Linked DNA regions of Oryzias latipes. The protein of the gene in region 2 purifies or fractionates together with the protein of the main gene of each other region. This does not show direct contact. Links are inferred from orthologs where the notes say so. Each region holds a gene or a part of one and is shown on either strand. Other genes may lie near its edges.

What was found.
Region 1: the proteins of B-cell linker protein (region 2) and btk purify together in Homo sapiens (affinity purification with western blotting; 5 studies listed by BioGRID and IntAct, with this or other methods). This does not show direct contact. The link is inferred for Oryzias latipes from reciprocal best matches to the Homo sapiens genes BLNK and BTK.
Region 3: the proteins of B-cell linker protein (region 2) and syk purify together in Homo sapiens (affinity purification with western blotting; 3 studies listed by BioGRID and IntAct, with this or other methods). This does not show direct contact. The link is inferred for Oryzias latipes from reciprocal best matches to the Homo sapiens genes BLNK and SYK.

The regions. Positions count from the first base shown.
Region 1 is NC_019868.2:8,311,479-8,322,639, forward strand, and holds the end of btk (tyrosine-protein kinase BTK), read right to left. Parts: intron 9,557-11,161; 5' UTR 9,505-9,556; intron 9,308-9,504; exon of another isoform or gene 9,303-9,307; 5' UTR 9,285-9,302; coding exon 9,144-9,284; intron 8,425-9,143; coding exon 8,320-8,424; intron 7,519-8,319; coding exon 7,437-7,518; intron 7,297-7,436; coding exon 7,174-7,296; intron 7,089-7,173; coding exon 7,033-7,088; intron 6,921-7,032; coding exon 6,730-6,920; intron 5,994-6,729; coding exon 5,931-5,993; intron 5,747-5,930; coding exon 5,692-5,746; intron 5,596-5,691; coding exon 5,516-5,595; intron 5,069-5,515; coding exon 4,941-5,068; intron 4,300-4,940; coding exon 4,228-4,299; intron 4,025-4,227; coding exon 3,853-4,024; intron 3,748-3,852; coding exon 3,528-3,747; intron 3,374-3,527; coding exon 3,309-3,373; intron 3,227-3,308; coding exon 3,108-3,226; intron 3,014-3,107; coding exon 2,856-3,013; intron 2,756-2,855; coding exon 2,684-2,755; 3' UTR 2,332-2,683; downstream 1-2,331. Other genes in the region: timm8a (mitochondrial import inner membrane translocase subunit Tim8 A), read right to left, coding at 1-87, 1,527-1,637. UniProt on the Homo sapiens protein: Non-receptor tyrosine kinase indispensable for B lymphocyte development, differentiation and signaling. Binding of antigen to the B-cell antigen receptor (BCR) triggers signaling that ultimately leads to B-cell activation.
Region 2 is NC_019873.2:3,160,182-3,170,398, reverse strand, and holds the end of B-cell linker protein, read right to left. Parts: intron 7,519-10,217; coding exon 7,493-7,518; intron 7,417-7,492; coding exon 7,388-7,416; intron 4,523-7,387; coding exon 4,463-4,522; intron 4,339-4,462; coding exon 4,311-4,338; intron 4,234-4,310; coding exon 4,173-4,233; intron 4,097-4,172; coding exon 4,036-4,096; intron 3,650-4,035; coding exon 3,590-3,649; intron 3,466-3,589; coding exon 3,438-3,465; intron 3,361-3,437; coding exon 3,300-3,360; intron 3,224-3,299; coding exon 3,163-3,223; intron 3,076-3,162; coding exon 3,048-3,075; intron 2,932-3,047; coding exon 2,901-2,931; intron 2,788-2,900; coding exon 2,730-2,787; intron 2,636-2,729; coding exon 2,607-2,635; intron 2,527-2,606; coding exon 2,471-2,526; intron 2,400-2,470; coding exon 2,307-2,399; intron 2,235-2,306; coding exon 2,079-2,234; intron 1,675-2,078; coding exon 1,558-1,674; 3' UTR 1,206-1,557; downstream 1-1,205. UniProt on the Homo sapiens protein: Functions as a central linker protein, downstream of the B-cell receptor (BCR), bridging the SYK kinase to a multitude of signaling pathways and regulating biological outcomes of B-cell function and development.
Region 3 is NC_019870.2:27,533,009-27,544,169, reverse strand, and holds the end of syk (tyrosine-protein kinase SYK), read left to right. Parts: intron 1-1,346; coding exon 1,347-1,485; intron 1,486-1,677; coding exon 1,678-1,759; intron 1,760-1,840; coding exon 1,841-1,896; intron 1,897-2,449; coding exon 2,450-2,512; intron 2,513-3,908; coding exon 3,909-3,993; intron 3,994-4,296; coding exon 4,297-4,456; intron 4,457-5,130; coding exon 5,131-5,340; intron 5,341-5,565; coding exon 5,566-5,755; intron 5,756-7,393; coding exon 7,394-7,534; intron 7,535-8,691; coding exon 8,692-8,804; intron 8,805-8,880; coding exon 8,881-8,953; 3' UTR 8,954-9,116; downstream 9,117-11,161. UniProt on the Homo sapiens protein: Non-receptor tyrosine kinase which mediates signal transduction downstream of a variety of transmembrane receptors including classical immunoreceptors like the B-cell receptor (BCR).

The DNA.
Region 1 (11,161 bases), on a different chromosome or scaffold from region 2:
GGTGTCTATGAATCGCTCCACGCAGTTCACAAAACACGATTCCGTCCTGGAGTCTAGTTTGGGCCCAGGTTTGTCCATGCACTTTTCCTGGAGACACACAACATACATGTTAAGAATAAAGAAAGACTTTTTAAGCTGTATTACCACCACTAACTGTAAGGCATAGTGCCTTTAAGAATTTATATATGTACCTTCAACAAAACAGAATTTTGTCTGATTATTTATAAGTGTACACACAACGCTCAACTATACAATTGTAGGGATTGTTACGGAACACAATTTTTTATTTTATGACTGAAAACGATGTTTTAGCTTGGGCTGATAGGTCGTAATGACCATTATTGCATTTGAATGGATTAATGTCAGCTTTTAAAGCAAAAAAGTGTAAGACACCAACAACATGAAGTCATCAACATATGGAACTAGCCGTCTACAGGTGGATGCATCAAAATAGAGTATAATTCTAGCTTGCCGATTGTAGCTTCTATGTCACAAATACAAGCTTTTTCCAACTGCAATTTTTTGTTTGCTCCAGATTCCCAATGATTAAAAAAAAAAAAAACACTCAAAAATGCAATTTCAAGCTTAATAAATTTTCCTTTATGGTTTTCCATTGTCATCAGAAAAACACCACAAGAACGTGTTAAAAACACAGTTCTCATCAGAGTGACCAATTCAAAATAAGATATATTTTAGGACAGTCCTTTCCTAGTATTGCGAGAATCCTCGAACCATCCTAGCTAGGGGTGGGCCGATATAGTTTTCCCCTGCAGCTGTGGCCAATAGCTGAAATGTGCCAATATCTAAGAGTCTATAGTTACACAAATTTAGATTTCCTTTTTGTTTCTAAAATAGAAATGCACAACTTTTCCTTTACTGGACAAACACATTGTACTACACCTTTTTGACATACAGCAAAGGATCTGATAGGAACAAGTATCATTTTAAAACTTTTATATAAATATATCTGCAAGGATTCAGACCATTTATTGACTAATGGGCATAACTGTAAACCATAAGCTCCCCATTGCCAGGGATGAACGTCACATACTTGATTAAACCGTAATTAACATCGATATACATATATAATCAATATACATGACTATAAATTAGTAATATATCAATGGTAATTAAATATCGTTTGACTAACAACGTCTAAATGGTAGTTCAAGACATATACCTGTTTTTTTTTATATACGTCCACTTCCGGTTAAATAAGATAAACAATGTTCTCCACAAGAAATTAACTCTTGTTTTATTTGGGGCTTTTTGTTACAAGCAGAGAACAATAAAGCTTTATCAAAACAACATCTGAACCTGGAAAACGTGCACGGCGATGACGTTCTCTCCGAGTTCACAAACGGACCGGTATTTGCCTAAAACGCGGGATCACGTTAGGTTATACACAAACACCAAAGGTCAACATCTAAAATAAACCTTTAAACAAAACTTCACAAACGTTTCCTGCTTCTGTTTTATTGCTGTTTTAGATGCAAACGGGTGCGCTGTCGAAAAGCTCTGCTTACCCAGCAAACCTCCGTCATTTGATGCACAAGCTGCTGAAACCTCTGCTTCTGAGACTCGATTTCGATGAAATGTTGAAGCTGAGGGTCAGCGGTTGCTCCTTGCCCGTCCATAGTTTCTTCAAATATGTTGTTGTAGCTCTATTCTTTATATTAATTATAGAAATATGTTGCCGAGTTTGCTGACCTTCACGTGTGTGAATGAACGACGGGAAGCCGGAAGTGATTCAGCCAATCACACAACGCGTTTGTGGGGCCGCATACGTAAGCGGTCAACGTTTATATATTGCTAAATTTCATATTCACAAAATTAAATTTGCTAACAAAAAAACAGGATTCTTCTTACTGAAATTTGAACTGTAGCAATATTCAAATTGATCCCGCTTCAATAAATAAAAAGGCTCAAAAAACGGTTAACATCTCAAAGTCTTTTGTATGACACAAGTTAACTCACGCATTTCTATTTTTATTTACGTATTTATTTCCGTATGTGATTGATTTATTTGGTTATTATTGATCACCAATTTCTCTAAAAATTTATATTACTTATAATTTTGTTCTCAATAGTTAATAATTTCAAAAGATCAAAACAATGTTGTTTTGTAGTTAGAACTGCGTTTTATTCTTGTATTGTTATAAATGTTGAATTTTGCATTATATTCTGCAAATGTTCAAATAAACAATATTTAAAATTTATGAAAATTGCTGCAAAACATCATGTTATACAAAAATGTAAACAGTGAAGTTATGTTTAGATTTGGATAATATTAAACCAAAAGAGACCGTTTTAAACACAAAACCCCAAACATTTGAAAGCCTAGCATACTTGGCTTTATTTGTGCAAAACATAAGCTTACACTGCATTAAAAAAACAAATCGAACTAAATGTTGTCTACATTCCAGACAGACTTACACTCAAAGGAAAAGATAATAGTTGTCAGAGATAAGTGGAAATATGGACAGTCCAGCTGAATGCATTTTTACAAATAAAATGTAAAAGCAAGTGAGTAATTGTGATATTTTGACAGTCAAATATTCACATTACAGAGGATATTTGTATGGTCTTTGAGCCCTGTATTCAAACTGGTAACAGTTTTTATGATTGTGTTTATCTTCCAGGAACAGACAGAGATGCTGCGCTGTGGAGGTGGGTCTGAGGTCTACTGGAGCTCATACAGAAGATCCTGGACAATCAGCACCAGGTCTTGAAAGGTGGGCCTTTCGTCTGGTTTCTAAGTGTAAAGCAAAGAGCAACATTTCTAATAATACTGAAATGATTTTTCGTTTCGAATTCTTTGCGGGAGTTAAAATAAAATTCGACGGCTCACTTACATCATGCCAGCAGCTTGTCATAATTTTGTAGACTCTTTCGTTGGCCAGCTGAGGGCGGTAGAGACGGAAGCCATGTGAAACCTGGTCCACAATTTCTGAGTTGTTGAGGCGTTCATATGGAAGTCTACCCAAAGTGTACACCTCCCACATCAGCACCCCTGATAAAGAGCGAGCAGTAAGCATGTTATAGCACAATGTGGCTCAGTCGACAGTGACCAAGAACTAATAAGCAGTTTGTGTTAAACCTCCCACCGTAAGCCCAGATGTCTGACTTGCTGCTGAATTTGCTGTAGAGGAGGACTTCAGGGGGAGACCATCGAACTGGGAACTTTGAGCCAACAGAACTTGTGTACTCATCATCTAAAACGTATCTGATGACATTGAAAAGGGGTTTCATTGTTTTTGCTTTGACTCGTGTCCCGTTTGTGCATCAGAAACCAGGAAGGGTTTTACCTTGATAGACCAAAGTCAGTCACTTTGACTGTGCCATTTGCATCTACTAAGCAGTTCCTGGCAGCCTGCAGATAAAACAGTGCCCTTGATTCAAGGATAATCATTAAATGTAGCAGTGTTATCTTGTAAACTCAAACTGCTGGTTATCTTGACACAGTGTGGGAATGCTGCTAGGTGTTTTTTTTTTCCACTCAGAAACAGTAGATCTTTGTCTCTCACCAGGTCTCTGTGGATATACTGCTGTGACTCGAGGTAGGCCATGCCCTCAGATACATCCTTACACATCTCCAAGAGCTGGTCGGCAGTTGGGTGCTGGATCAGGCCTTCCTTGAGATATGTCAGCAGACACCCATTTGCAAGAAACTCAGTCACGATATAAATAGGTCTCTGCTTGGTGCAGACACCGTACAGCTGCACCAGGTTCTCATGGCGAAGCTTCCTGGTTTGAGCAAAAAGAGAAGGAAGTTCATTTGGTTTTTCTCAGAGGTTTTGAAAACTACATTCACCACCTGGATGTTCCTTGACGGGGTTTAGCTGTGCTTACATCATGATTTTGGCTTCCTCAATGAAATCATCTTCTGACATGGAGCCCTCTTTAATCATCTTGATGGCTACGTCGTGCTGGCCCTGCCATTTCCCATACTTCACCACTCCAAACTGGCCCGTGCCGAGCTCTTTGATGAAGGTGAGGTAGTGGGGGTCAATCTCCCACACGCCTGGAGGAAATAGAAGTTCAGATTAAATAGGTCCTTTTGTGATTGCAGGCTTTTTTACCCCCACACAAGAACTTAAACTTAAACTCTAATCGAACCCTCCGAGGATCTTTGGCACTTAAATTGCTCGCAAAGAAATAAATAGTTGATTCATCATCAAATGTTAAAAAAAAAGGATTTAGAGTCTGCTACAGATATACTCTTACCATAGCCGAGTCCTGCCGTTGACGGAGGTCGCGCCCGATTAGACACAATATGCTTCAGCCTGCAAACCATACCTGGAGATAAGAAAAGCAGCTGAAACCTCCTCACTTAGGTTGACAGTTTGATAGCAACGGTGACAGATGCATGGAGGACAGTAGTTTGCTGTACTGCCATTAGGTTTAAAAATAGGTAAAAGGAACGCCGCAGGAAACGTGGCACATTATCGAACCAAATCTGCATTTTTTAATGTGTTTTGTAACTTTCATCAAGTCCAATACCCAATCATGCAGCTTTCAACTTGTGCCTTCTTATATATAATTCAGTGGTCTTTTTTGTTTTGTTCACAAGGATGGTTTATTTAATATTCCCACTAACCACTGCAGTCTTTTAATGTAAAATGTGGTCTTCTTCATTTGCTTCTTTTTTTTTTTTTACAAAAATTTGTTTTTTCATGCTGTTTTGTTTTAAGCCCATTTCAGTCTGTGGTGTTAACATATAGAATGAACTGGTGTCAGTGGACTCAAAAGAAATTCAAAATTCTAATCGCAATCATAATGAAGTTTTAGTCAAGATTATTTATTTCTGCTGATATTTTGGTAAAGGTTTCTCAGGGTTTCCCGCTGTTGAGTAATTTCCTGTTAGCATGAGCTGGCTCTATTTATACTGTTTTGCATACTGGTCTACAGGGCTCCATCTGTGCCGTGGCGGGACTGACCGGCGGCATTGTGCTGATGATAGTTGATGAGCTCTGGGATGGTGTCAAAGTTGTGCTTCTCTGACAGATAAAACTGGCCCTGTGGGGTTGTGCAGATGTTGTAATGTCTGCAGCTTCCACCTGTTTCCCTGTAGAGAAAAAAAAAAGTGAAATCGAGTGCCAGCAGATCCAGCTGAAGGGTAGTCATCCACATCGTATCTTAGTGTCCACATCTTCTTATTCTTATAACTGTTATTTTATTATTTTATGTGCTGCTTGCACTGTGGGGTGAGAGTGCCCACAGTGCTGGGCTGTATGTCTTGTGTATGCAGAATATTTGACAATAAAGCTAACTTTGACTTTGACTTTGACAGTAACTATATTACAGTTTATCCTCAGAGTAAACCACAGTACAGATCAGCTTAAATAGTAAGATTAGCCCAAATTTGGCATAAAAAGATTTACATCTTTCTCTCTGCGACCAGCCGTTTCCGCTTTCATTTTGCACAGTTCTTCTTTTCATAAGTTTACACATGACTGACGCCAAAGGAGCAACCATAAAAAAATGGTGGCAGTGTTTCCACAAGTTTACTCACGCGCCACTCTTGGCAAATAAAGATACGGTGTATTTCCCAGCTTTGCTTGAGTCCCGCACCAAGAAACCGCCGTCTTTGTTCTGAAAGTGAACATTTTAAGAGTTTCAGAAAAAAAGTTCTGGTTCTAGTTCGGAAGGAAACAAAAAAAACATGCTGTAGTCGCAGCATTTATTTACCTCAGACTTTAACAGCTGTTCTGCTTGACTGCGGTTCATGTTCTTGCAGTACCAACTGTCGAAAACAACAGAACTGTCTTTTTCTTACTGCTTTTTACCTCCAGAATTCATGAAATTGGCAATTAAATACATCTGTGCCAATCTGATACAACGCATAAACATTTATCATTTTAAATTAAACATTTGAAAGTCTTAGAAACAGAACATAACCATTTTCAGGGCAGAAAGGTGGTACTCACTGAAATCTTTCAAGGCCGGACTCTGCTTCTGCAACATAATTACTTGGTATGTAGCCTTCTTTCCTGTAAAATATAATCAAGATCTCTTATTGCAATTAGTAGAATATTTTTTAGGTATTTGTCAAAACAAATTCAAATATTACTATATTTTCTGCACTGTAAGGCACACTTAAAATTTGCTTTAATTATTTTCAAACCCAGAACGCCTTATATGCGGATTCATTCTGCTTGTGTTTACTGATGTCAAAGGGATTTTTAGAGGTACACGGTGTTTTTGTGAATACACACTAGTGCTGCTAATGTGTAGCGGTGTCGGACTGTGTTTTTTTTTCTGTTACTGTACTAACTAAGTTGGGAGTTAGTGTAATCACAGTAACGTTTGTTTTTAGAGATATCAGTTTGGTTTTTTTATGTTTCAAACAAGGTTGGGAGTTACAGATGTTGTGAGCACGCCAACACAGCTAACGTGTAGCGTGCTATAAACAAGTTCTAGAATTACTGTGACCTCAGTTAGTAAAGTCTGACTGATGAATTTATCTCTAACACTTTTGTCTTGCCTTATTTATGACACAAGCTCAAACATACACCATTCATTGACGGTGCGCCTTCTGATCTTTTGCGCCCTATAGTGTGGAAAATTCTATCTGCCTTCCATCTGTAATGCCTTAATTTAATTTTTAGACTTTTACTGCTGTGAGCAAAGAGAAATAAGTAGCGTTTTTAGCATACAAATACAAATGTGTTTGTAAGGGTCCAAAGTAAAGTGGTTTATGTTATTCTTTATTTGGCATCTTCTGACCCGTATTTGTCTCTGGCTCTCCACCAGTTGGGGTCTGACTTCTCCAGAATGGTGTACTCCTCATTCGTCCTCAGCTCCAGGTCTTGGGCTGTCATGGGCGTGTAATCATACTCAGCTATGACAGTCATGCTTGAAGAAGGAGCAGCTGACTCAGGCTGCGGTGGAAGACGGCGACTGGGACTGGGCTTTTCCTGGGACGACATGAAATCATGCACATAGCAGATGTGTTGCACAAGTATGAAACAAAACCGAAACTTAATATCTTAATTATTTATTTTATTAGAGACCTAAAGTTACCCTTACCTCTGATGGGGTCGGTGGAAGAGGCTTTCTAGTCGACCTCGTTCTAGATGCATAACCTTCAACAATAAATTTCATATTTGGATCAGCTGTTAAATTGTTGAAAAATGTATCACACAAAGGAAATCTTTTTTTTTTTTTTACCATTCTTATCCAATATTTTGCAACCCATAGCTTGTTTAACTTCCTGTTGGCAGCACAGCCACACGCCATCAGCCCAGAAACAGGGGTGATACTTTTGCATCAGGTCTTTGTTGTAGCGCACCACTGTGCACAAGAACAGACACACACGTCTGCACCATTTACATGAAATCAACATTTGCATTTGCATAGCTCTTCTGTTTCACAAACAAGAAGTGACATATACAGAATATTGAGACACAGAATGCAAGTCTGTGTGGACTTACGTTCTTTTAGCTTTGTAATCCACTCGGTACGACTGTTCTCAGACTTTGCAAAGATGTATAGAGGCCCTTCATCGTAGACCACCTGAGGCAAAAATCACAGTCTCCGTTTTTATTTATTTCATTTACCCCAACACTTCACCTTAGCTGCATTCACTCAAATTTAACACAAGGGTTTACTTGTGCCTCTGAATGTTAATCACTCTTTAAATATTTGAATAAATGCCAATGCGTACAATGTCTTATATCTATTTACTAACTAAACTCAATAAAAATGTAAGATCATAATTTAAAAGCTACTGAATTCAGGAGGATGTGGAGATTGACTGGTTTAATGGAACTAATTCTTTCTTATGTTGCCAGTTAGCAAGGCAGACTCCTATCAAGACATATTATGAAATATATATATAATATTGTTGCTACTTTTTGCCCACGTTTTGGTGCTGCAGTGCTTAAATGTCCTTGTTGTGGAACAGACAGTACAGTTACTCCCATTACTTACCATTCAGCTCATTGGCAACACCTGCATTGTTCTGAAATCCCCTGGTTCATCTGAGACAGTTTCACTTCTTAAAGAAGACACTTTCATAGTTTTTGTCTGTAAGAGCTTTGGGGAGTCTTCTTTTTTGTATACATTGAATTCATTGGAAAAAGAATTGGATGCAAAGCAAAATGTTTGTTGGCACACTTTAAAAGATAAAAGTGGTATAGATGATGTAGGATGTTATAATCTATGGGCTCTATTGGAAACTTAAGTGAAAGCAAAAGTAAATAAGTAATAGTTTTGGGATGGGAAGTCTGAAAAACTGGATGAATGCTTTTTGAAGCTTGTACAAATCGGTTTAGATTAAAATGAAGCTTGTTATTTAAAAAGAATAAACTCTACCTGGAAAGCAAACCTTCGCTCCTGTGGAGCGTTGGGCTCTGTCTCGACCGTCTCCACACACTTTATCTTCTCAACATCAACGGAACCCCTCAGACCTTTTCGCTTCTGCTCACACACAAGGAAAAAGTTGGAGTCTTTTGAGTGCATCGGCTGTAATGCCCGGTTTATACTTACAGCGATTGGCCATCACATTAATCGCATAGTGTCCCTACTGCATTGCGCTGTCTAGTTAATTCTAAAGTTGGCCGGTTTCGCTTGCGACTGGCCTTCATGGCTGTGATGAACTTCTGAGTGGCGTTTATACTATTGTGTCCAGCATTTCCGTGGTTTGGTATTTTCAACATGGCTGACATCTTGCTGCGTTGGCGAACACGCAGGTACACAATGGTCAATTTTCTTAACACAGTTGTCCGCTCTATCTGACTCTGTACCCCCGCATGTGTATCATAGAGGCTACGGTATTTCCTAATGTCTTCAATCATCAGCAATGTTAAAAAAGACACTATTTTCTGGATCGAGGTTGCTCTGCCATCGCGTCTTCTGATCACTTGAAACAACTGTAGTTTCAATAGCGCGATATGTACGTGATTGTACTACAGGTGTAAAATTCCAATCCTGGATGATGTCATCAACCTGTGTCGCATTTCGCAGCGATTGGGCCGATTCCTTTCCAATGGCTTTGCGGCCGATGCCACCTGAGCAATTACAAATCACTTTAAAGTCTAAACTGGGTATAAGATGCTTTAAACAACATCCATTCACAATAAAAGTATGTCCAAGTAGTAAAAAAAACAAGGACTCAGTTCTCTGTTTACTTTACACACCCCTTTGTCTGCATCATAGTCGTAGTAGGCTAATTTTTCTGCCGTCAGAACGAATAATCTCTCCTTGTAGTTCAGAGGAGATGTCTTCTTCTTCTGCTGAGATCTTTTGATGAAGAGATCTTCCAGGATGTTTTCTGACATGATTCAACCCAGATGGATCTACACTGGGACAAAAAAACAAACAAACAGAAAACTTAAGAAGAGTGCAGCAAACAGAAGGCTCTTACAATCACAGCCATTGCCCCCACAGCTCCACTCATGATCAGTGTGCGGTTGGTGTGTTTCCTGCATATCAAGTATAGAATGGAATATTTAAATTCCCCTTCAACCATATTTTCAAAGAAGGAAACGGAACACTGACCTGTTGTTCATAGAGTCAGAGCAACAGTGCTGTGTCAGATGAGATTAAAGATCTGAGGAGAGATGAGCAGACATGCAGTTTTTGCACTTATCAGTTAGTGATTAGCCGAAATTTGCATTTAAAGTCAGCGGTCTAACGTCAGGATTGTCCTGCGATTCCATCATTTCCTTTAGTAGGAGATCTTTTTCCCTCAGCCATCTTGTGACTTAAATAAAATTAGAAATCATGCAGTAAAATACATTAATAACTTATCTGTGATATATTACACTACATTTTATTGCTTGATTTCAAATATTTTCCCGACGCTCACATGGAATTACATGAGATCCAGTTTCAGGGATTTGAAAAAGTGTAGTTAGTGGTACAGGCTCCTGTACTTTCAGTGCAGACACAATACAAACAGGGATCATGACTTGGAAAACTTCACAATCTTCCTTTTCTCTGTCGCACAATCACTCAGACACAAGACTACTTTTAAACAGATCATAAAACAGTCTGCAAATAAAGGAGGTTCTCATTTGGGACTGTGCTTTGTGTCATGGTTTTAGCACCTCGCCAGTGTTGAAATGAAACCAGCACGCTCAAAACAAAAAAAGCTCCATAACTATGAGTCATTCTGACTGTGAAGGTGAGACTGCTGTTGCTGAGCTGGTCATCGATCTAGGCACTTGAATAGGAAAACACGGAAACGGAGCACAGATGAATGACCATCTGTCTTCAAAATGATACCACATATGGTACAAGAGGAAAACACTAAACACCCATCCATCCACTTCTGAACCTGCTGAATTCCTCTTAGGGTTACGGGGTTGCTGGAGCCTATCTCAGCTACTGTTCAGTAAAGGCGGGGTACACCCTGGGCAGATTGCCAGTCTGTCTAAACACCTAAGTGAGATATAGGACGCTCCATCTTAAAGACGGTTAATTTAATTTGATTGGTTTGAGTTGACCGTTTCTGTCGTGTACAGCAGAAGTTTAAATGTCAGTATCTGGTCAAACTCCTCTTTATCAAACGCCTGAAAGCTCAGAGTCCATAAGCCTGTGTCAGATATTTTTGCTCTACAGCTCAGCCTATTTTAAGCCGTTAAGTACTTCCTTTTATTTTCTGAAGTGTAACAGTAACATGCCAGAAACTTCTGTACCTCCCTGCTAACCAAGAGTGTCACATTTCTTAACATGAGGGTGACACTACTTATAAAGTCTGTTGGTGTTCCCTTTTCTGCCAAGTATTGTTTTCTCATTCCTCATTTGCCATCTTTGTCAGTTGTGACAGTCCCAAGACTCTGCAGAAAAGCCTTGAACGTGCGTGCTTAGACTGTGGCGGCCTAAAAGACATTTGCTTGTTAGCCGTTTTCTGAAGCGAGTTGACTCACAGAGGCTGACACAGGCAAACCCATGGGGAAGTTGCATCAAGGTTGTGCTGTGTTGTTTTTTGTGGGGGGCTGAAAACGTTACAAGCCCTGCTACATTTCTATCTGAGATTGTCCTGAAATGTGTTGCACAGTCAGGTATGCCTTTCTTGTACAACAGTGCAGGGTTTGTTTACCATCCCACTATGTGACACAATGAACAAATTCATACACAAATACTGTTTGAGTAGCATAAAAGAATGTGAATCAATGTAAATACACGTCTATGCCTCTTTTTTACACAGATA
Region 2 (10,217 bases):
GGTCTTAATTGTGATTGAGTTTGTGAACAATCGTATGCCTCCTGGGGGGTCCCATGCTCAGGGTCAATGAAGCATTGAAGCTGGAGACGAACTCTGGTAAAGCCACAACCACGGGGGGGTTCTAATTGTCTCCCTTTTCTTTATTTATGGTCATTTCAGTACACTGTCATGTTGAACCCCATTAAGAACACTGTAGGTAGTAGATTTGCCATACCCTCGTGGGATCAGCTAATGTGGGAGTGGGCTGCCATATTTGTTTTTGGGACGTCCCCTCAAGTTACTCTGAAATACCAAAGTGTGTGTTTAAGAAAGCAAAAGCATAAAAAAGCTGTTTTATTCTTTGTATTTATGGTTTATCCTATATATGCTTCATTTATTCATTATTGTTTTGGCCATTAGAGAAATCTTTGTACATTTTTTGTTGTAAAAACTTGTATTTTGTTCACAAAATATGGCAACTATGAGAGTCGCATGACGTGGGAGTTAATTTAACTGATGAGACAGTTTCATGCGGTAACCTTTTGTTTTCTGAAGTCAAATCTGCTAAAAATAATTTTAAGAAAATGTAAATGTTATTAGTTAGCTAAATTGAATGTTTCCTCTTTTTAGTCCTGTTTGTGTTGAAGCGAGGATGGAATCTTTTGGTTGTGTTATGAACAGAGGATTCCTCTTTTCCCTGTTACCTCACTTTATCGGGCTTTGACAATCTCACGCCGCGCGCGTCCTGCCGCGGCGCCACACCTTCCCTCACGGCTCACACGGCGGCGCTGTGGCTTGACGGATGCGGTCGGGGATTTAAGGACAATTCCTCTTCTATTGTGCACAAATCCCAGTTTCTCAAGTCTCCATTTTGTTATAATTGTACATAGACTGTCTGGTGGTACTGTAAAATCCTTTCTGAGAATATTCACCAAGTGCCTGGTTATTAATTAAGTTATGCAACCAATGGTCACGCGTCTAAACAGCATTACTTTTTCAGAACGGAGCCGTTTTTTATGAATGAGGACGTGAGCAGACGTGGAACACGGACTGTCTTTCTCCTCCAAAGCATTGTTAAAAAGAAAAAAAGGTTCTTCTCTTTGCGTTATTGTCTCATTCCTTGCATTAATTTGAGTCCAACTGAACATGGAAAAAACAATAAAATATGTTTGAGCAGTTTTGTCACTTAAGTGTCCGAGCAGCAATGAAAACATTTTCTTCTGATCTTGTTTCAACTCTGAACACACGTTTTTATTTCATTCTTAAATTCATACACCTCACATGCTGCTGTTTATTAAAGGGAAACATGAACATTCATATTTGTAATATGCAATCACATCGTTTTGTATTCAGTGCATCATTTTAGTTGGTTGTGCTGAACACATGACATTTAGGATTTTTCCTCTTTGGCTCGATGGATGGAAGCTTGACACAAAGCGGCCTTCTCTGTTCGGTTGGGGGCCAATTGTAGCTGCAGCCGACAGCAGGGGCCCAGCGTCTGCAGCGTAGACGGCAGCGCAGCCGGCAGATGCAGCCGGGAGCTCATGGATGTTGCCTGACGACAGTCAGAAAGGACTTTCATGGCTTCACAGGGAAGCAGAGCTTGGTGGTATCCTTGGAGTTGCTCTGCGCGTCGATCAGCACAAGAGGGTTCTTCTGGTGGTTCTCGATGATGCTGGACACACTGCTGAAGAACTGGAGGGAAAAAGAGACATTTACAGTCAATTCTTCAAGTTTTTTTTAGATAAAAAGTCTTTTTTAACTTGAAGTGGCTGTTAGGATTAGCAGTAAAAGGATAGACACATTATCACCCAAACAGCCTTACTCACTGTCATTTCCCAATTGAAACAATCATTGTAAAGAAAAGTGTTCAAACAACACACACTTGAATCCATGGGCTGGGATTATTATATCAAAAATGTACATTAATATCAAGATATACACTTTTGAATGTTTGCAGCTCAACATATTTCTCTATACTTCATAACACGTCTGTGATAATAAAAACCTTTTTTAAGTTTATTCCCATCCCACGCACAGGAAACATCGCGCACAAAGTGCCTTGTTCTGTAATTAGTATGAAAGCGCTCAGATCAGACCTCCTCTCCTCTCTTCTCCCTCCCCAGAGCAAACTGCTGTGTGTTTGGCATGAAGCGGATGGGGATGTTGTACACTCGGCCCTTGTAGAACACCACTAGGGTGTACGGTTGCTGAGCATCGTGGCCGGAGCTCTTTCTCACCATGAAGGCCCCGTCCTGAAACAGAGACAGTCCTGCTCAGATCCGGCAGCTAACGGCTAACGGGGAAATCAACATTTCCATCCTCACTTTGTTAAAGCGCATCAGAGCCTCGTCTGCAGTCCTGCGGTCGCATGCAGAGGCGTACCAGGCTTTGTTACAGACGTCTGCATCCTGACATGTCTTCAAGTACACATCACAAATTTTAAAAACGTGAAGATTTAATTTTTTTACATTGTGTTGCGAAAGCAAACCTTGTCTTGATCCACTGAGCCGTTGTCCACTGGGGGGCTTCCTCTCTCAGGGGGCTCTGAAACAAACACGATTTTAGTCGCTTCACTTTGATGAGGAGGATTTTTGCACTCATTGTTGCTTCAAAGACATACTGACTTAGAGAGTTGAACTGTGGAAGAGGAGCCCTAAAGAAAAAAGATCCAGTTAAAGCACAAACCCAGACTTATGTGACTTTGTGTTTTGCTTCAGAAATGTGTAGTGTGGAGCAGGAAGCCTCACTTTGGTCGTTTGAAGGACAGGGAAGATAACTGCTTCTCGGGCTTGCTGGGCTTGCTGCCTTTGAAATGCACAAACCACAAAAGGAAAACAGTTCTGCAGCTGCTTTAGGGCTTCTACTGTAAATATTTACCACTTTATTGGTGAAAGCACAGAACCAATAAACTGACTTACTTTCAAATTCTCTCGATTTGAACTCTGGTCTCTGCAATAAGAATCACAACCAGGGTTTTAATATCAGAAATCCCTTCTTGATCATGTGACACGGTGATGAAAAGTTGGTATTCTGTGAACGAATATTTATTGAGAAAGCACTCCTACCGACTGTAAGGGTGATTGTGGTACTCTTCTAATAAACAAAGACAAAAAAATCAGAAGGAAAGTTGTTATCAAAAGTGGGTGTTATTGGCGAAACATGAGAATGAGTCAGGCCTACTCCTTGGGTGGGGGTTTGGGTGGGGCAGGCGGAATGTCACCTGCATGTTGATCTCTGAAACCTAAAGAAGCACACATTTAACCTGAAATCGTTTTTGGTTGTCCATTAGATGGCGCAGTTCTCCACAGAATGCTCACCTTTATTTATATCACAGACTTCATAATTTTCCTCCTCGTAGTCATGTGTGGGCCTTTCGTCCTGGTAAAGTGCAAACGGGGTGTGAGTGGCAAAAGATCATCATTTTTAAACCAAGTGTGTTCTCTGTTGTCACTTACATCAGCGGAAAATCTCTTGGTGTTTGACCTGCAGAAAGTAAGTGAGTAAATGTTTAGTTCTACAGCACATTTCTCAGGATTGCTGGGAGTGTCTGACAGAAAACCACAAAGTTCTGTAGTCTCAGGACCCTTTGGAAAGGTTTCTGTCCTACCTGGTGCTGGGTTTGGGGGGTAAACTGAAAGACAGTTTGGTCTGAACAGGTGGACACAGCCTGGAAGACAGTTGAATCTTGAGTCATGCATGGTATAGTCGTTTTTTGCCATTTCTGGCTTCCTCTGGTGAATCTGTTCTATATGGTTGGAACGTTTTGCAGATAATTAAAAAAAAAACCAAGAGCTTTTTTTTAGGATGAATCATTTTAAAGTTAGTGTTTTTAGACAAACTGGGTTTTAGTTGCCACTTTTTTATTTCTTTTCTATGTGTTGTCACCATACATACTGTGGAGTCTTAAAGCATCAATATTTCCTAAACAGAGACATGATCAATATTAAGTTGATGCTATTTTCCTGAAGAGAATAATTTGTTGATTGAAATACAGTAAATTCAATTCTACTATTCTTTGACCTCCTTATAAGGACATGAAATATTCAGGCTTACTCCTTGGGTGGAGGTTTGGGTGGGGCAGGCGGAAGGTCACCTGCGTGTTGATCTCTGAAACCTAAAGAAGCACACATTTAACCTGAAATCGTTTTTGGTTGTCCATTAGATGGCGCAGTTCTCCACAGAATGCTCACCTTTATTTATATCACAGACTTCATAATTTTCCTCCTCGTAGTCATGTGTGGGCCTTTCGTCCTGGTAAAGTGCAAACGGGGTGTGAGTGGCAAAAGATCATCATTTTTAAACCAAGTGTGTTCTCTGTTGTCACTTACATCAGCGGAAAATCTCTTGGTGTTTGACCTGCAGAAAGTAAGTGAGTAAATGTTTAGTTCTACAGCACATTTCTCAGGATTGCTGGGAGTGTCTGACAGAAAACCACAAAGTTCTGTAGTCTCAGGACCCTTTGGAAAGGTTTCTGTCCTACCTGGTGCTGGGTTTGGGGGGTAAACTGAAAGACAGTTTGGTCTGAACAGGTGGACACAGCCTGGAAGACAGTTGAATCTTGAGTCATGCATGGTATAGTCGTTTTTTGCCATTTCTGGCTTCCTCTGGTGAATCTGTTCTATATGGTTGGAACGTTTTGCAGATAATTTAAAAAAAACCAAGAGCTTTTTTTTTAGGATGAATCATTTTAAAGTTAGGTTTTTTAGACAAACTGGGCTATAGTTGCCACTTTTTTATTTCTTTTCTATGTGTTGTCACCATACATACTGTGGGGTCTTAAAGCATCAATATTTCCTAAACAGAGACATGATCAATATTAAGTTGATGCTATTTTCCTGAAGAGAATAATTTGTTGATTGAAAAACAGTAAATTCAATTCTACTATTCTTTTACCTCCTTATAAGGACATGTAGCTTCATAAAATCTCAGAAATTGAAAAATCAATAGCAAAAAGCAATAATACAGATTATAGAAGTCTCTTCAAAAACTCCTTGTTTTTATTGGCTGTTGTGGTTTCTGTTTTCGTATCTAGTCTTTTTGTACCAACATTTTCAACCAATGATAAAGGGTTTGTGTGAAACCCAGTCCTTGGAATAATGTGCTTTTCAAAAATACGCTGAGTCCAGTGACGTGCGGTCAGGTGACGCTGTGCCCACCTGTCATAATCGTGGTAAAATCAACAAAGGTAAATCACGTAAATATTGTTTTCCACTGATCTGTGTCAAATATTAATTATCAGTCAACTCAACACATTTTCCACAGTTTCTGAGGTTAAAATCGCCAAATTTGAGTGTTGCGTGATCACAAACTGAGCTGAAACTCTGGGTGAGGCTCTGAAGCAATTCGTCTCGTGTTTGACTGCAGGACTTGATCGGATCAATGGTCGGGTTAAAATTCCCCCGTGCACATGGGCACAGAAAACCTTTTTCCGATTAGAACAAACGTTCCCATGGCTCACACTTTCGGAATGATTTGGGCATGCGCAGTAGTGTAAAATCACCCGGATGAGAAACTAGGTCCCGTTGTAAACAAACCGCTGCCACAGACAGACAGCATGTGCAGCAGCTCCGTAATACGAGACAATCTTCCAAACGTGCTTTTTTTAATGTCATGAATATTATGAAGCGCCTGTTCGCTCATCGTTTTATTTGTGTGGTCAGTGCTTTTTTGTGGAAGAATTAAGCTGGAAGAAGGGTTAGGACAGGCTAACACGGGCTAACAACATGATTAGCCTGATCATGGACACAAAATCCAGGACCATGCGAGAAACGCAGCAATCAGCATCTTGGCTGCACGTAAATGTGTGGGAATAACATCTGCCTTTATTTTTTTATTCGGGACACAACTAGAAACACAAATCCACGTGATTGTTTGAACAGTTTCTAAGGACTGAACGACATTTAGTTCTGCTCTGAAAAGTTCACACAGACAGACCGCCCCAAAGCCGTGTGAGCTGGCGGCTCTCCTGAGTCCTGCAGCAGCTAACCCAGAGCGGCAGGACCGCTCGCAGTCTGAATTTTCCCACACATAACAAAACAACAAAACGCACACGTAACAAAGCATCCTCCCCCCATCAGACACAAAATTATTAAACCGGCTCCTCTGCTCACTCCAGTGGACCGAGTGAGCGTGGGGGGCACGAAGCGCTCCTGCCCCGCATCTCCCTTGTGAGGGGTGAGAGAGAGGGGCGCTTTTCACGGGGCGGCCGCAGAGCAGCTGGTTGGTCGCGTTTGCGCTCCAAACCTTTCTGTCAGCGAAACACCATCTATGCATGATGTAAACCAGAGCAGCAGTGACACACGATCGGAATGACCGTTTACATGCTCCACGATCGGATAAATGATCGGTATAACCCACCTATCTCGATCAGAAAGAAATTCTGATCCGAACGAGTCTGACCGGGGCAGAGTATTCCGAACGGCGTGTTTCGATGACGCATTTTCTTTCCGATCAGGCGTTCATTCCGATTACTTTTGCCCATGTAAACGCGGCTAATATATGTTAACAGAGAGCAGAGTAACAGTGCGCTGAAAACACTGCTGTAGACCCGCAGAAAAGGCTTTAGGTTAAGCAAGCCTCACCAGCAGGGGCAGATGTGAGCTGACAGCTGCTTTGTAGCTACACTGGCGCCGTAGAAACAGAACAGACCGAGGACGTCTGTCTCCATTGAGAGGGAGAAACTCATAAACTAAAGGAAAAAAAGGAAAATTTTCCAACAGATCATTGAGCTTTTTGTGGAGAAGGATCGGTGCAGGTACTCAAAAAGTAAGGCCAAACATGTTTTCCATTGTTTGTTTTTTAAAAATAACATGGGCGTGAGTATAAAAAAGTTAAGTAACATCATTTCTTTTATTTTTATGATCATTTTTACAGACAACATTTGATAGCACTGATTAAAGCACCACAATTTGAAGTTGGAAAAATACCAGAAATAGTTACTGAGGGTCAAATGTGTGCTGAACAGATCTGTATACTTTAATTTGTTTACAGTACATATGAAGAAGAGTGTTCTATCCATGTTTATAAAAGAAATATTCTCTGTTGGAAAAATATGTTCTTGTGTGTATTTTATAAGCTGTTTCCTGCTGTTGGATGAATCCTGAAATATTCAGTTCTTTCATTGTAAATCTGACTGCAGAGGAGTCGGTGCCTCACCAGCCATCAACCTCACCGTACATAACTGGCTGAGTCCTATTCTGATAGATTTCATCCACTGCTTGATTTTTTCTCCTTTTTTCAGAAGCAATTAATAAATTGTGCATTTTGTGATGTCGATTTCAGCCAAAATGCCCCGTTTCCACTAATCTAAATGATAAATCCAAACTTATATTCAAATTTTTCATATTTTTCGTATCAAATCTTTACTTTTAAGATGTCTTGATAAGAAAAAAGAACTCCAACTGACCTGCTTGTTGGAAGGCTGAAAGACTTTTCCTGTAAAGTTGAATGCAATGGTCAGTTCCGCACACTGTGTGTTCAGGTGTAGAGTTTGAATGACTTAAGAGCCTACCTGTTTGTCAAAAGGCTCAAAAAAGTCTGAAAAACAATGAACATTTTCATTAAAGGTGCAGCAAAAGGCATGTATGTGTCCCCAGACATTTCTATCATGTTCTTCCATAGCCACTATTTTAACCCTTGTGCTATCCTAGGCACTTCAACATTGGGAGTTGGGTCATCTAGACCCACTAGACAGTGCTCTGAACCTTTTTTCTTCAATGATTTGTGATCTTCACTGGTGTCCATGGATTACATGAAACCTTTCCACCTTTATCCACCTTTGTCATGGTAGGGAGAACACGTCAATGTAAGGGTGGGGTCATCTAAGATAGCACAAGGGTTAAATTCAAGGAGACCCCTTGCCTCCATCCAGGGAGGAAAGTTCTCATGTCTGGATATTTAGTCAAAACTATGTAAATTGTTGTCAGTTTTGTGGCCATGTAGAGTCACTAATTCCAGATTTGAATGAAAAATAGAAAAGAAGTTCAATACCAGCACTTCTGGTCAAATTGCAGCAGACTTTTCCTGAAGTTTAAAATACTTATAATAACCCAAAACAACAAGAAGAGAGATGCTACTGCCATCCTATAGCATTGGAAATCTAACACACACCCTTGTCTACCCTTTCCTTGTACACAAAGCCCATTTATCTGTCCTTCTAGTCAATAATCTCAGTGACCTGAGCGTAAAATTCCTCCTTATCTTCCCTTAGTCTCTCAGTCTCACTGCAGAAGTGTTGGTCCACCATTGATCATCGACTATTTATTACTTTACATTTCAGTGAAAGTCCGACTTTTTAAAATTACATTTCATCCGTCGGTCAGTCGAAACAAAAGAAAATAAGGACGGCTTTTGAATATTACACAGCTGAAGAACAAACGTGAGTTTATGAACGCCCTCTTCGTCTCTCTGCCTGCGTCACTTTCTGTCTTTCAGCTTTATGTCAGATCTGAACACCAAATAAACAACAGACAAATATAAAACACAATAACTATCTAATGGAAAGTGAGGACATGTAATAAAAAGGTTTACAAAGTATAAAAGCATTTTAGCAAATACGCTGAACAAACTAAAGGCACGCAATCCGCCCGGATTGCATGGAATTGGGCAATCTGCAGTGAGGCTCATCTCACAGCCTGCACTGTAGTTGAATAGGAAGTACACAAGATACGGGATTTTGAGAATGAAAAATACATAAAGAATGCCTTTTAGTAGAGATTAGACAACACATTTTTGGTATTATTAGCATTTGTGATGGGAGGTGAGGATTATGACAGGTGAGGCACTGCTTTATCTGCCTCCCCTGACCACACGTCTCTGCTATGGACCAGGGTCCAAAGTAGGAGTGGATTTGTTTTGTTACAACGACAAAAACCATCTAATATATCTGGATTACCGCTCCAGTTTAATAATCCACCAAACACCTCGAGTTTTATCACCATCGAAAAGATGAAGACAAGACAAGGGTTTCCAGATGTTATGGTTTCAGATAATGGGTCACAGGAATTTCAGAGACTGGCTCCTGAATGTTGCAGCTATAGTGGTTTTGTGGGAATGTGAACACAGAACATCCTCACTGGATTGCAATCAGAAATAGCTGTAAAAACTGCACTGTCACTTCTGACAATACTAGACTATCGTAACACACCAAGTCAGCACCTAGGTACAAGTCCTGCCCAGACATTTCTAAACACCAGAACACGCATTCTTCTTGACACCACTTGACACACTCCAAACCGGTACTAAGAATATGAAAGGTCTGCTTCACAACACAGAAATATACATCCAAACAGCTGAGGACATGGAGATCTGTCGTGCGTGCGGTAAGTATGTCTTGAATTATTTGTAAAGAAATTGTAAACTAAACGCACTTATGACTGACGGGGGATGATGTCGTACAGTGTACGCCACCCTCTAGTCGTAAGTAAGTGCGAGTATTGGCTCCTCACTGACATGCTCAAATGGTGCACGCATGTGTTCAGGTGATGTGTAAGCGCTTGTAGGACGCCTATACAATGCCAACGCAAACAACACTGTAGAATTTACTCAATTTTAACAGTCTACCTGCATACAAGAACTGTGAAATGGGCGTGCAGGGAGCATGCACATATGTCAAAAACAGGCCCCTTGCACAGTGTGTACAATTTGAGGGGGTACGACACACCTGAATCTCACCTACTTCCCCCTTATTTACCCTTGCGTGTTGCTTAAGTGTTCATTGCGACCTGTCACTGGCAGCATGCCCGTAATAAAAAATGTGCATGGACATTTTCGCCCTGTGTGCTAGCCGAGTCGTCTACGACCTTGAAATTACATGCGGGTAACCTGTGTGCCCCGTACAGATTTTCCCATATTTCAGCCCAAGTCCTCCTGTAAGGGCAGTTGGGACTAAGGCTTTACTCCATATTTTTCTGATAGTCATCCCTCAGTTTTCTAACTGTTGTTCTTCCTTTAGGGTTCACAGTGCTGTGTTTTCGGTGCCACATCCTTGCTTAACTCCAGCACAGTAAGCAAATTGCATTTAAATTTCTGTTCCTCATTCTGACTCTTCGTCTAATTTCCTTTACCACCATCAGTTACTGACATATCTATGTGGTAACTGCCAAGTCAGGCCGCAGGGTGATCCACCCAGCCACTCGAAGAACCAGTTGGGTTACCTCAAATAATATTCACAATGACTTTGTTGATCTTTAAAATGTGACTTTTGAAAAGAAAGGGGGAATGTGCTAGATTGCATA
Region 3 (11,161 bases), on a different chromosome or scaffold from region 2:
TGTCCTGTGGTCTTCTTTTAGAAGCAGACGCTCTTTGAGACATGAGTTCGCCTCTGTCCTTCTCGTTTTCTGAAGCGTTTTAGAACAAGTCAAAGGAAGAAAGGTTTCAGTGAAAGTCTGCTGTAAATGTGAGCACCCATACGTGCACGCGCTCGTGCACGGTGGCTCCAGGTCTGCCTCGAATGTATGTATCGACAGCAGCCGGAGCACGACCCCGCGCTGAAGCTGATGCTCTGACGGTTTGCACAAGACTTCCGGAAGTAGCCAAACAGGAGAAAACCCTCGCCCCTCATCAGAGCACAGCAGGAAGTGCCGTTTTTCCACTCAGACTCGACCTGACGTTTTGCAGATGTGCTCGAGTGGAAACGGGCTGTCGCCCCACAACAGCTAGGGAGGTTTCAGGCTGGAATCCTGATGGTTCCTGTCGCACTGCTGGTGTCTGCGGCTCCTCTGGGTCTGGTTCCGGCTCATTTCCAGTCACAGCCCACTGCCTGCGGTAACAGGTGGATCCAAACAGCGTTAAAGCTTCACTGAAATAACAACAGGCAAATGAATGAAGTCAGATTCCTGTAAGAATCAGACGAGCGTGAAATGTTGACAGTGTGGGTTGGCGCGACCATTGGAGCTCACAGAGCGTAAATTTAAAAAAGGGCAAAGAAATAACAGAAGATTCAAAGAAAAAATGGGTGAACTTGACAGAATCCGCTTTAACTGTCGCTACAAAAAACTGCGAGCAAGTTTGAGATCGGTCTGGACTTCTGTCCTCTCTGAGGCAGGCGCCCAAACGTTCAAACCAAAACCTCCAACAGGACCGGCTTCATCCAGAACATCATTTACTGACGCTGCTGCAGACTGCGATCAGTTGTTTGGACTCAGGTGGACCTTTGTCCTCTGAGTGGCACCACATTAGGAATAGATCCAGTTCTCTCTGTTCTTTGTCTCTGCTCAGGAGATCTAGTTGAGGTTGTTCTTGTTGTCACAGCTGAGTTTCACAATAAGAGGAGGGGAAATTCTGCATGAAGGTGGTTGCTCACAGATTTATATTTAGTCTGAATTCATCCTTCAGTCAGTGCTACAAGCCCACAGTCAGGACTGGTCTGGGTTTGGATCCTTCAGCAGCTTTTGGCAGCTCCTGGTTCCAGATCATCAGTTCTTTTTCACTCCTTTTCCTGGCAGGTTCCACGTTTGTGAGCATCTTCACAGCTGTGGTTAAGCTTTCTCCCTCATGTCTGCATGAACAGAGTAAAAGCAGTGCATGGCGTGGGATCAGGCGTGCCACGTCCACTGATGACTGTGACGGCAGCTGGTGAAAGCAGCCAGGTTCCTGACTGAGGTTCTGTGTGCAGGATTCGGCAGAGGAACGAGAACGGTTCCTACGCCCTGTGTCTGCTGCACGAAGGAGAGGTGATCCACTATCGCATCGACAGGGACCGGAAGGACAAGCTCTCCATCCCAGACGGAAAACAGTTTGACACTCTGTGGCAGGTTTGTCATGAAGTGTTTCTCCTTTCTGCCGAGCAGCAGATGTCTGGTCCAAAACAGAACCACATTTGTAGAAATGCAGCAAAAGCCAGTTTGAGAGGCCTTTGTTCCTTGTCCTGCAGCATTTACGATTTTCAGTCTGCAAGCTTAACGTTTGTGCGAGAACTTCACGCCGCTCTTCCCTCCTACCTGCAGCTGGTGGAGCATTACTCCTACAAACCAGACGGACTGCTGCGAGTCCTCACCGAGCCCAGCCCACGACAGGACGGACATGCCGGTACGATGACGCTCAGGACGGGCCAGAGACACAGAACCTCATGCAGCTCTGATCCAAAAGAAACATTTTCCTTTTTCACAGGACTCATAGGACGACCCTCGCTTCCAGCAAACCACCCAGCGCCAGGAAACTCGCTTGTAAGTCGTGTGTGCTCATCAACTGAACACCGAACGGTTGTCAATAGAAACTTCTCATCATAAACACCATGTTTTTTGCTTTTTCAGTAATTAATGCTGGTTTGAAAAGACACATTTTAATATCAAAAATGAAGAAGTATCAGTGATGTTGTCAAGCAGACATTAAAAGCTTTAAAACGCTTTGGTGTATTCAAACTACAATCAACTTCAGATCAGAAAGGAACTGGTCAGATACTTTGTTGTTTGAGGTCAAAGTTACAGAGCTGGATTATGGTTGGACTTTAGTTAGAAAGCTCAGAAACGTGAATGTTGGGAAAGAGACACCAAAAGGGATTCCACCTGAGCCTGGAACATGAGGTTGTTCTACCTGATGCAGTAAAACTAAAGTCTGTTACGCACAAAACTATAGCATCTGATACTTTTACACCAGAAGCAGTACGCACAATCTGGATCTGAGGCTGCCACGCCTGAGACTCTCATATCTAACGCTGTAATCATGAGAATCGCACAAGATTTGGATCTTCTGATTATTTCCCTGAACTTTTGTTTCCAGCACCACGTGGCAGATGGAATTTTCTCAATGATCAAGGATGCAGCTAGAATTGGGAGGAAAAAGGTACAGATAATCTCTAAACCACACCAAGCACATCAGCAAGGACACATTTTCTAAAAGGGTCAAATTCTTTTGCTGTCGGTAATTTTGGGCAGAGTTTTGGAATCTACGGTAATTTGGAATCATGACCCTTGACTTCATTTCATAAAGAAGCAAACTGTCCAAGTATTGGACACAATAAGTGAAAGTTTGCTGAAGGTACATGGTAAATAGCGTCTTTTATGTAGCCCTTTTTTTTTTTACCTTTTGTAAGGGCTTTACAGTCACATTCATCCTCACACACTGATCAGTGGTCGACTGCTCTACCTCTGCCAAAAATGACCCTGCTTTGGCTCTGCAAACTATTTTTTTTCATATTTTTATCTGCTTTGATAAAATACAATTTTATTTTTTTATTTAATCTTTATTTATATAGAAAAAAAAGAGAGAAATTCTTATTTTCCATTGTAGCCTGGCAAAAGGTAAAAACAGAAATAAAGTGAGTTATAAGAGACACACAGAAAAAATATGGAACAGCACAAAACAATCGATAAAAAAAAAAGATTAATTCAATAAAATAATTAAAATCCTTAAACTAAGTTAAAGCAATATATTTCTTAAAAATGATCCTTAAGATCCTTGAAATAAGAGTGTCAAGTCTAAGGTTTTTTGGAAGTGATTCCAGATTCTGGGTCCTGCAGACTGAAAGCATAAAGAACCCAGGCTCCAGGTATAGTCAGGCATTGCTTGATGTGTTTTTTTAACAGTAAGAAATTAACAATCCAACCAAGCTGTCCTGTGACGAGTTCTCCTGCAGCAAAGCCTCTGACACTGGACAGCAGAGAACACATGTCAAACTCAGAACTTGAACAGGACAACCTGCCCAAAGATGTCTAAAAAAGGTTTCAGAATTAACCACACCTCGCCACAACACACCGCGCTGTGCACACAGTTTTATTTATTTGTGCTGAGGGGATCTGTTTGTTACCCTGTTTGAAATGTTTTTGTTCAGATGGAAAATGAAAACATAGCAGCTTCTAAACATCAAATGAACTTAGTTTAAGGTAGTTCTGTTCCCAATGACGAGCCGTGTAGAGCAGTTTTAGTCATTGTTTTAACTAAAAAGATGCGTCAGTGTTTTTTTTTTAAAGAACAACATCATATAGAACTGAGTTAAAGTCCCTCATGCTTCTAAGAACAAGAGAATCTGGCGTGTTAAAGTGGGTTTGGAAGTGGAAGGAGGAGCGTGGGTTCCATGGTCCAATTGGTCTGGTGCACTCGGGCTTCTCTGCTGTCAGAACCTTCAGCGGCCACCATGCTGGGATGTGTTCACATTTATCTGACATGAGAAGTCTCTCTGAACGCCTAGTGTCTGCATCCTCAGTCTGACTTCAGCCTCTGCTCTCTGTACAACCTACAGCCCAGTCGTGGATCGCAACACAGCACCACAGACAGCTCAAACCCGTACGAAACCCGAGTTCCCGGAAATCAAGCAGCCAGCAAAGGTAGGTTCATCGTGCTCGCACATGGAAGCACATTTCCTTTCAGGGTCTGTTTGTGTTTAAGAGATGAGCAGGGAAATTCAGGAATGTTCACAACCTTAAAACTGACTGAGGAGCTACACACCAAGGGTTCACGCTCTGTGGTTACAGAGTCAAAAGCCCTGAAACACAAACACCTGCTAATGATGAGCCTGTGAAGCTGATGAGAGTACAGACATGAGTCAATGTGGAGAACAGCAACAGATGACTCAGAGATGAGACGTCTTTCTCTTTATTCTTAGTGTGAAACCTACTTTTCTCCATCAGAGGCCATGCCCATGGACACAGAGGTGTACGAGAGTCCTTATGCAGATCCAGACGAACTGAGAAGCTCCACAGTCGATCGCAAGCAGCTCTTCCTGGAGGATGGAGAACTGGGCTCAGGGAACTTCGGAACCGTCATGAAAGGCATCTACAAGATGAGAAAGTATGTTCTTTTCAGCTCTCCTCCACTGACGATGTCAGCTGAGCTGGTGAGGTCAGGCAGCAGAGAGAGTTTGTGTCGCAGAGCGGGAACAAAAGTCAAAATGTTTCATTAGATTCAGTCACGATGACTTCGCTGGACAGAAACTCCCAGGTGAGCAGCCCTGAAGCAGAACTGAAATTTACATAAGAGTCAGGTTTACCATGGCAGAAAGTCTCTGAGGAACATTAACTTGATTTTCAAATAAAACACCAAGTGCTGACTCCACCTGCTCCACCTCAATGTGAAGTTGTAATCTGCAGAATGGAAGCACTTGGAGTCACGGCACACGTATGCAAGCAAAGCTAACCTCCGACAGAATCCGTGGGACTGTCCAAGTGTTAGGAATTGACTTTCGGTCTTGCCCAAGGACATTTAATTAGAGAACATGGAAATTGAACTCTTAACCGCGTGGCTGGAGGATGATCACTCCAGGTCACACGCTAATCTGTGAATGCAAAAGTAAAAAAAAACATTATCAGTAAGTCCTTCTTAAAGGAAGGCAAAATAACGTTTAACTTAATAAAACAACCTAAAAGCAAAAGAATAATCCACGGGATTAAATTAACATCCTTGATCCTTTTTGATGAACTTGAAAAGATGTGCATGAAGTCTTACCCCTCAATCCTGTGTGCCAGATCAGAGAAACCGGTTGCAGTAAAGATCCTGAAAAACGATGACAACAACCCGTCTGTGCGCGAGGAGATGCTGCGAGAGGCCAGCGTCATGCAGCAGCTGGACAACCCCTACATCGTCCGGATGATCGGCATCTGTGAGGCGGAGAACCTCATGCTGGTCATGGAGCTGGCTGATCTGGGGCCGCTCAACAAGTTCCTGCAGAAGAACAAGTAGGTGTCCAGCTGGGTCTGTTCTCAACCGTATACAACCTTTATATATATATATATATATATATATATATATATATATATATATATATATTTTGGTTGACTGTCTGTGACCTTCTGACTGAGTCTTATGTCAACTTAGAAAAAGAAGAAAATGTTGCAAACGTCTGTTGTTGCGGTTTTTTTCCTGGACTTCAGTTATTCTAAGTAGGGGCTGATTTTTCACAGGCACGCTTCCACAAAGAACATCACGGAGCTGGTGCACCAGGTGTCCATGGGAATGAAGTATCTGGAAGAGCACAACTTTGTCCACAGAGACCTCGCTGCCCGAAACGTACTGTTGGTCACACAGCACTACGCCAAGATCAGCGACTTCGGCCTGTCCAAAGCCATCGCAGAAGAGCACAACTACTACAAGGTGATAGAGGCTCAGAGAAAGGAGGCTCAAAGCCATGTCACACGGCCGCTACGTACATTTTAGGCATTTTCCACGTATGAAATGTCGGTCTTTCGGGATTCACGCTTGATGTACGTAATTCCTGTGTGTCTTGGTTGATGTGCGCAGATGTTCGTTGAGGGTTTCGGCCGACAGGTCTTCATGTGAAATCGGTTTGGAGCTGTTCAGAATTTGTGGTCGGTTGAAAATTATGCAGTTTAAGCCTGTTTTACATAGTTTACATGCAATTATTACGTAAATCTTATGCAATTTTGGATGACTATTGTGAGATGCATATGCAAATTTGTGGCTTTTACAACAGTTCCACATATGTCTAACGGACTTTTCATGCATGGACCACAGAAGTACAATTTATATCACGTAAGCAGCGCACATATCACGTTAGAATTTTGGAATTGACGCAGGAATCCCTAATGAGTTTCATATAATGAATTGCGTGGTTTATTTGTACTTGCTGTGTGGTTTTGATGTGGTTCTTACAGGAAACATCTGTGAGAATTTCATGCAAAGACTACAACTTTTCTCACTTTTCCCACGTATATTCACGTATGACCAATTGTCATCCGTGCAATAGTGGCTGTATGCCTCTGGCTTCAGAGAGGGACCATAAGGAACGAGGCAGATACATTCAGACAAATTTAGGGATGTTTAAAAGCATTCAGAGGTATTTTAAGATTTTCGAAAGCACAAAAAGACACTTGGAGAATACAATCTGGGAACAAGTGAGCCGTCTCTGCCATCTTTTACAGACAAATCTTTCTTCAGGTTCTTTGATAAATCTAAGAAGTCCTGTTGTGTCTTCTTCCATCAGAACGACATTTTGTGTATTTCCTCCAGCAAATACAAAACCACTGTTATTACAGTCGGAGATTTCCCAGGATTAGAGAAAACCTGTGGAAGTAAAATGCCCAACCATACAACAACAATATAATGAGCGTATTATTTATTTTGAAAAAGTGTTGTCTGCCATGACTTCTTCTTACCTCAGGGCTGAGGTTCAGAACAACAAGCCCCTCCCACTGGGCATTTCATGTAACATAATTAACTTGTGATTTTGCAACACTTCTTTTGCATTGTGCCATCTGCATGTGAACCATCTTCTATGGGTGACGTCACCCTCGCTCGGTCCAGTTCTCTTATATGGTCAATGTGCTAGATCCAAGATGCTCTGTGAGGCTTCAGTCCTGAAGAGTCGCTCTCCTCTTTGACTTTGAGTTGATGATAGCTGTGCCTCAAACACCTCCCAGAATCCTCTGGGTTTGTCACATTGTGTCCTCTGCGGTCACCAGAGGTAAATGAGAGCTTTTGACTTTTCTGTTCTCCTTTTTCGGTGCTGGCGTGAGTGTGTTCGGTCTTGGTTGGCAGCAGAGCTAACAGCTGTTGTCATCTATGATAAATGTATAATCTGAGATGTTTCTGATAACGTAACCGTCTAGTTTAGAAACCCGAGTCTGTTTGATGTGTTTTTGTGATTCTCTGTCCTCTTTTTTTTTTTAGCTCTAATTTCATATTTTTGCTCAGCTTTTGCCAAAGTGTGGCTCTCCCTGAATCTGTCAGTGACACCTGACACTGGTTTTTGGCGCTGTGTTTCTCCTGCAGGCAAAGGGTCATGGGAAGTGGCCTGTGAAGTGGTACGCGCCTGAATGCATCAACTACTTCAAGTTTTCCTCCAAAAGTGATGTGTGGAGCTTTGGCGTGCTCATGTGGGAGGCCTTCTCCTACGGCCAGAAACCATACAAGGTATGAAGAGTCCAACCGCAATGCTCCAGGTCACACACAGCCACGTGTCGCCACCTGCTGGTCATGCTGGTCACTGCAGCAGTGTTGGGATTTTTGTGTCGGGACAGTTTAAGCTGTGAGTCAGGAACAAAACAAACATTATCTGTGTGACTGACAAGAACAACGATCAGGACAGATGCAAATTCAGTTCTGCACCAAATAGCAAGAAATATCTAAGCAAATTAAATACAAAGACCAAATGTTCTTAATGCATTCTCATACCAGTCCAAACTAGTAATCATCAGAGTTTAGCTGTAATTCTGTATACAGTGTGAATGTAGAAGACTCCCTCTAACGTGAATTCTGGTCAAACAACAACTTCCAGGGCTTTGATTCTTGGTGAACTATCAACGTCATGAAGCTCGTTAAGTTTTACTGAAAGAAACAAACTCATGTTCTGCACGTGCACGGCTGCAAAAGTAAAAGAAGGTCAAATTGCTATACTGTATATAGAAAAATGTATCACTGTACCACAATAATTATGTAGCACTATAATTGGATTATTGTACATTGCTACATTGTATTAATGAATGATTTGATGGCCACAAAAACAGAGTGGATTTTCTAAATGATGAGGTGAGGCTCTCAGTGGGTTTTGGTTAGTAGGAGACTTCAAGGCAGCAGACCGCTGCATTAAAGTATTATTAATACGTCATTAATGAGCTCTGGGCTGCTCACTGGTGGTCAGCAGTGTTGCCTCATAGCAAAAAGGTCTGGGTTCAGATCCTGTGCATGCATGGATTTTCTCCAGACACTCCTTCCATCCTCCCACCATCACAAAAACAGCCTCATAGGTTGGTTGAGGATGTGGTTCTCTGTTCTATGCGGGGTCTTGACTTCCTGCTCTGACCCTCTGGACCGAGCAGAGGATAAGGCTTCTCTACTGCAGAAGCTCCATGCAGAGGTGAAAATCTGCCTTAGAAAAAAAGAATAAATCAATCTTTTTAAAGAAAGGAAAATAAAACATTCAACAACATATGACACACGTGCCCCTGGCTGACCTCGTCAGTTCCTGAGTTACCTTCTGGTTACATTAGAAGTAATTGGATTACTTATGTCAGCAGTGACTGATGGGAAATGCAGCATCTTTCAGTGACCGTGTTGGCGACCTTCCACAGGGAATGAAAGGAAACGACGTCATGCAGATGCTGGAGGGTGGGAGGCGGATGGAGGCTCCGGTGGGATGTCCTCAGGAGATGTACGAGATGATGCTGAGCTGCTGGACCTACAAGTGAGTGACGGGCGAGCACGAGGCACGGGCGCAACGCTGTCGGACACGCTGACAGACTGTCTTTTCTCGGTTTCAGGGTGGATGAGCGGCCCAGCTTTGCCGTGGTTGAACCCCGACTGCGCGAGTATTACTACGATATTTCGCACTGAGCCGTGGTGGGAGGACGGCTGTATGTACACGCTTAAAGCGGGAAATGAACGCTCTGGATCGGCATCAAACCGGTCCTTTTGGAGAGTCCCTTACCAAAGCACATTTCTCTGCTCATCAGTGAGGAAGGCGGCCGGTGCAGACAAAGAGGAAGAAATGCACAAATGACTCTGTGAAGAAGAGCTTCAAGATTGCTATCGTGATGCAAACCGGACATGATTAACGACTTCTCCTTCTATGTTGAATGCAGACAGGATGAAATGTATGAGTGCTTGCTGAGAGTAAAGCTGTGGCGCAGACTGAACATCAGACTGTTTTATGTCCTCTTTGCTGCTGAAGCTGCAGCAGTAAGCCGGGTGGGGGGGCTGAAATTAACAGCTATCTGATGCTGCTGAAAGCCAATTGAATTTAACAATTCCCTAATCTGTAATGCATTCTCCAGATCTACACAAGACTCTATATTTTTCAACTGAATTCATGTCTTAAGAAGAAATGAAAGAAAGAACTTCAGGTAAAAAACAGTGGTGTTCAGGTTTTGCACAGACTTTCCTGCAGCAAATATCAGCCTTGAGAGACAAGACTGAGGCTCTGTGAGTCTGCAGGAGCAGGAAAGGACAAAAAACCTGAACGGGGAAGAAAAACTGCATTTTGGCAGAATCTGGTTGATGGGATCTCTCAGAACTTACAGGCCGAGTCTCCAGACTGAGACTGGTCCACAGACCTGCAGCAGAAACACTGAGCGCTTTCTCTACAAGCCCATCAGGTAGCATCGTCCAAATGTTAGGTGACTTTAGAACCAGGTGAAAATGGGAAGCATGTGATATGCCTCCATTTATGTTTCCCAAAAAATCTTACCTTACTGCGCCAATCCCGATTGGCTGGTGATTGAGACCATAGACTGTATATGAGAACTGGACAGAGCATAGAAAATGATTTAATTCCAATTCATACCAAGTCAATTCGGTCGCCATTTTCCCACCATATGGCTGTCCCCATGTTGGAACCAGAGGTCGTCAGAAAGCCGTGATTGGTCCGAGCCGGTCTGGGTCAACATTTCTATGGCAACCCCTCTCTCCAATCAGGAATGATCTTGCTAGAAGGCCACACCCCTTCCACTTGACAGCGGGCTGCCACAGAATCTGTTGAGGGTTGAACGTTTGAGGTGACACCACATGCTTTTACTGAGACATCTGATTGGACAGTTTATAACTTGAATAACTTGCACTGCAGAAAAATAAGGATTATCAAGAAGATGCTAAAAAAATGTATCAGACCAAGAATGGTTGTCCTGACCAATAGATTGAGTAGTAGCTGTTTATGACATAGAAGTCTATGGAGTTTTGGCTTCTTGGAGCCAGTTGGTACTTCCTGTTTGGAACACCAGGGGGGAGGGGTCACTCAGTCCAGTTCTTTTATACAGTCAGTGGTTGTGACCCTCTGCCATGCATGAAGAATTTCTTCATTTTGCACCAGCATGAAGGGCTTTCTGATTTTTTTTAAAAAGGACTCGTCATTCAGAGGACTGGGATATAACAAGCAACCCAGTCTCTTTCCCGAAATGTATTCCCATGTCTCACTATGAGGAATGGCGACTCCCGTGTTCACAAGCAGGTTTATCAGCAGAGAGCGTACACTAAAAACAGAATCTTGGGAGAGTAAAAAGACCCTTTTTCAAGAAAAACGGTCTTATTTTCTGTCTTGCAAGAAAAAGTCTCATCAGAAGTGTTGCACAGTGAAATCATGTTTCTCTGCAAGACTATTTTTCTGACCTCATTAGCAGATTGTTTTCCTTATTTAAAGAAAATTTGCTAATGGGGTAAGGACCTAATTTTATGGGACCTGTTTTTACAGTGTACAGTCGCTGCTGCTAAAGTGTCCCCGATAGAGACCAGGAGGCAGCAGAGGGAGACCACGGGGGCTGACAACTGCTAAAAGGAGATGCAGTTGGGTTAGCAGCTCAGTGGCCTTGTGGAAGAGTGTCTGCCCTGTGACTGGAGGGTCATGGGTCCAAATCCACGCTGAGTGATACTAAAGAGTCGAAAAATGGGACCCAATGGCTCCCTGCTTGACACTCAGCATTAAGGGGTTGAGTTGGGGGCTTAAACCACCAAATCCTTCCTGGGTACAGCTGTGTCTGCAGCTCCCCCTCACTTTAACTTTGAACAGTTGCTTCTGTAATCCAGTGAGAGCGGCTCTAGTTTGTGAAGGGA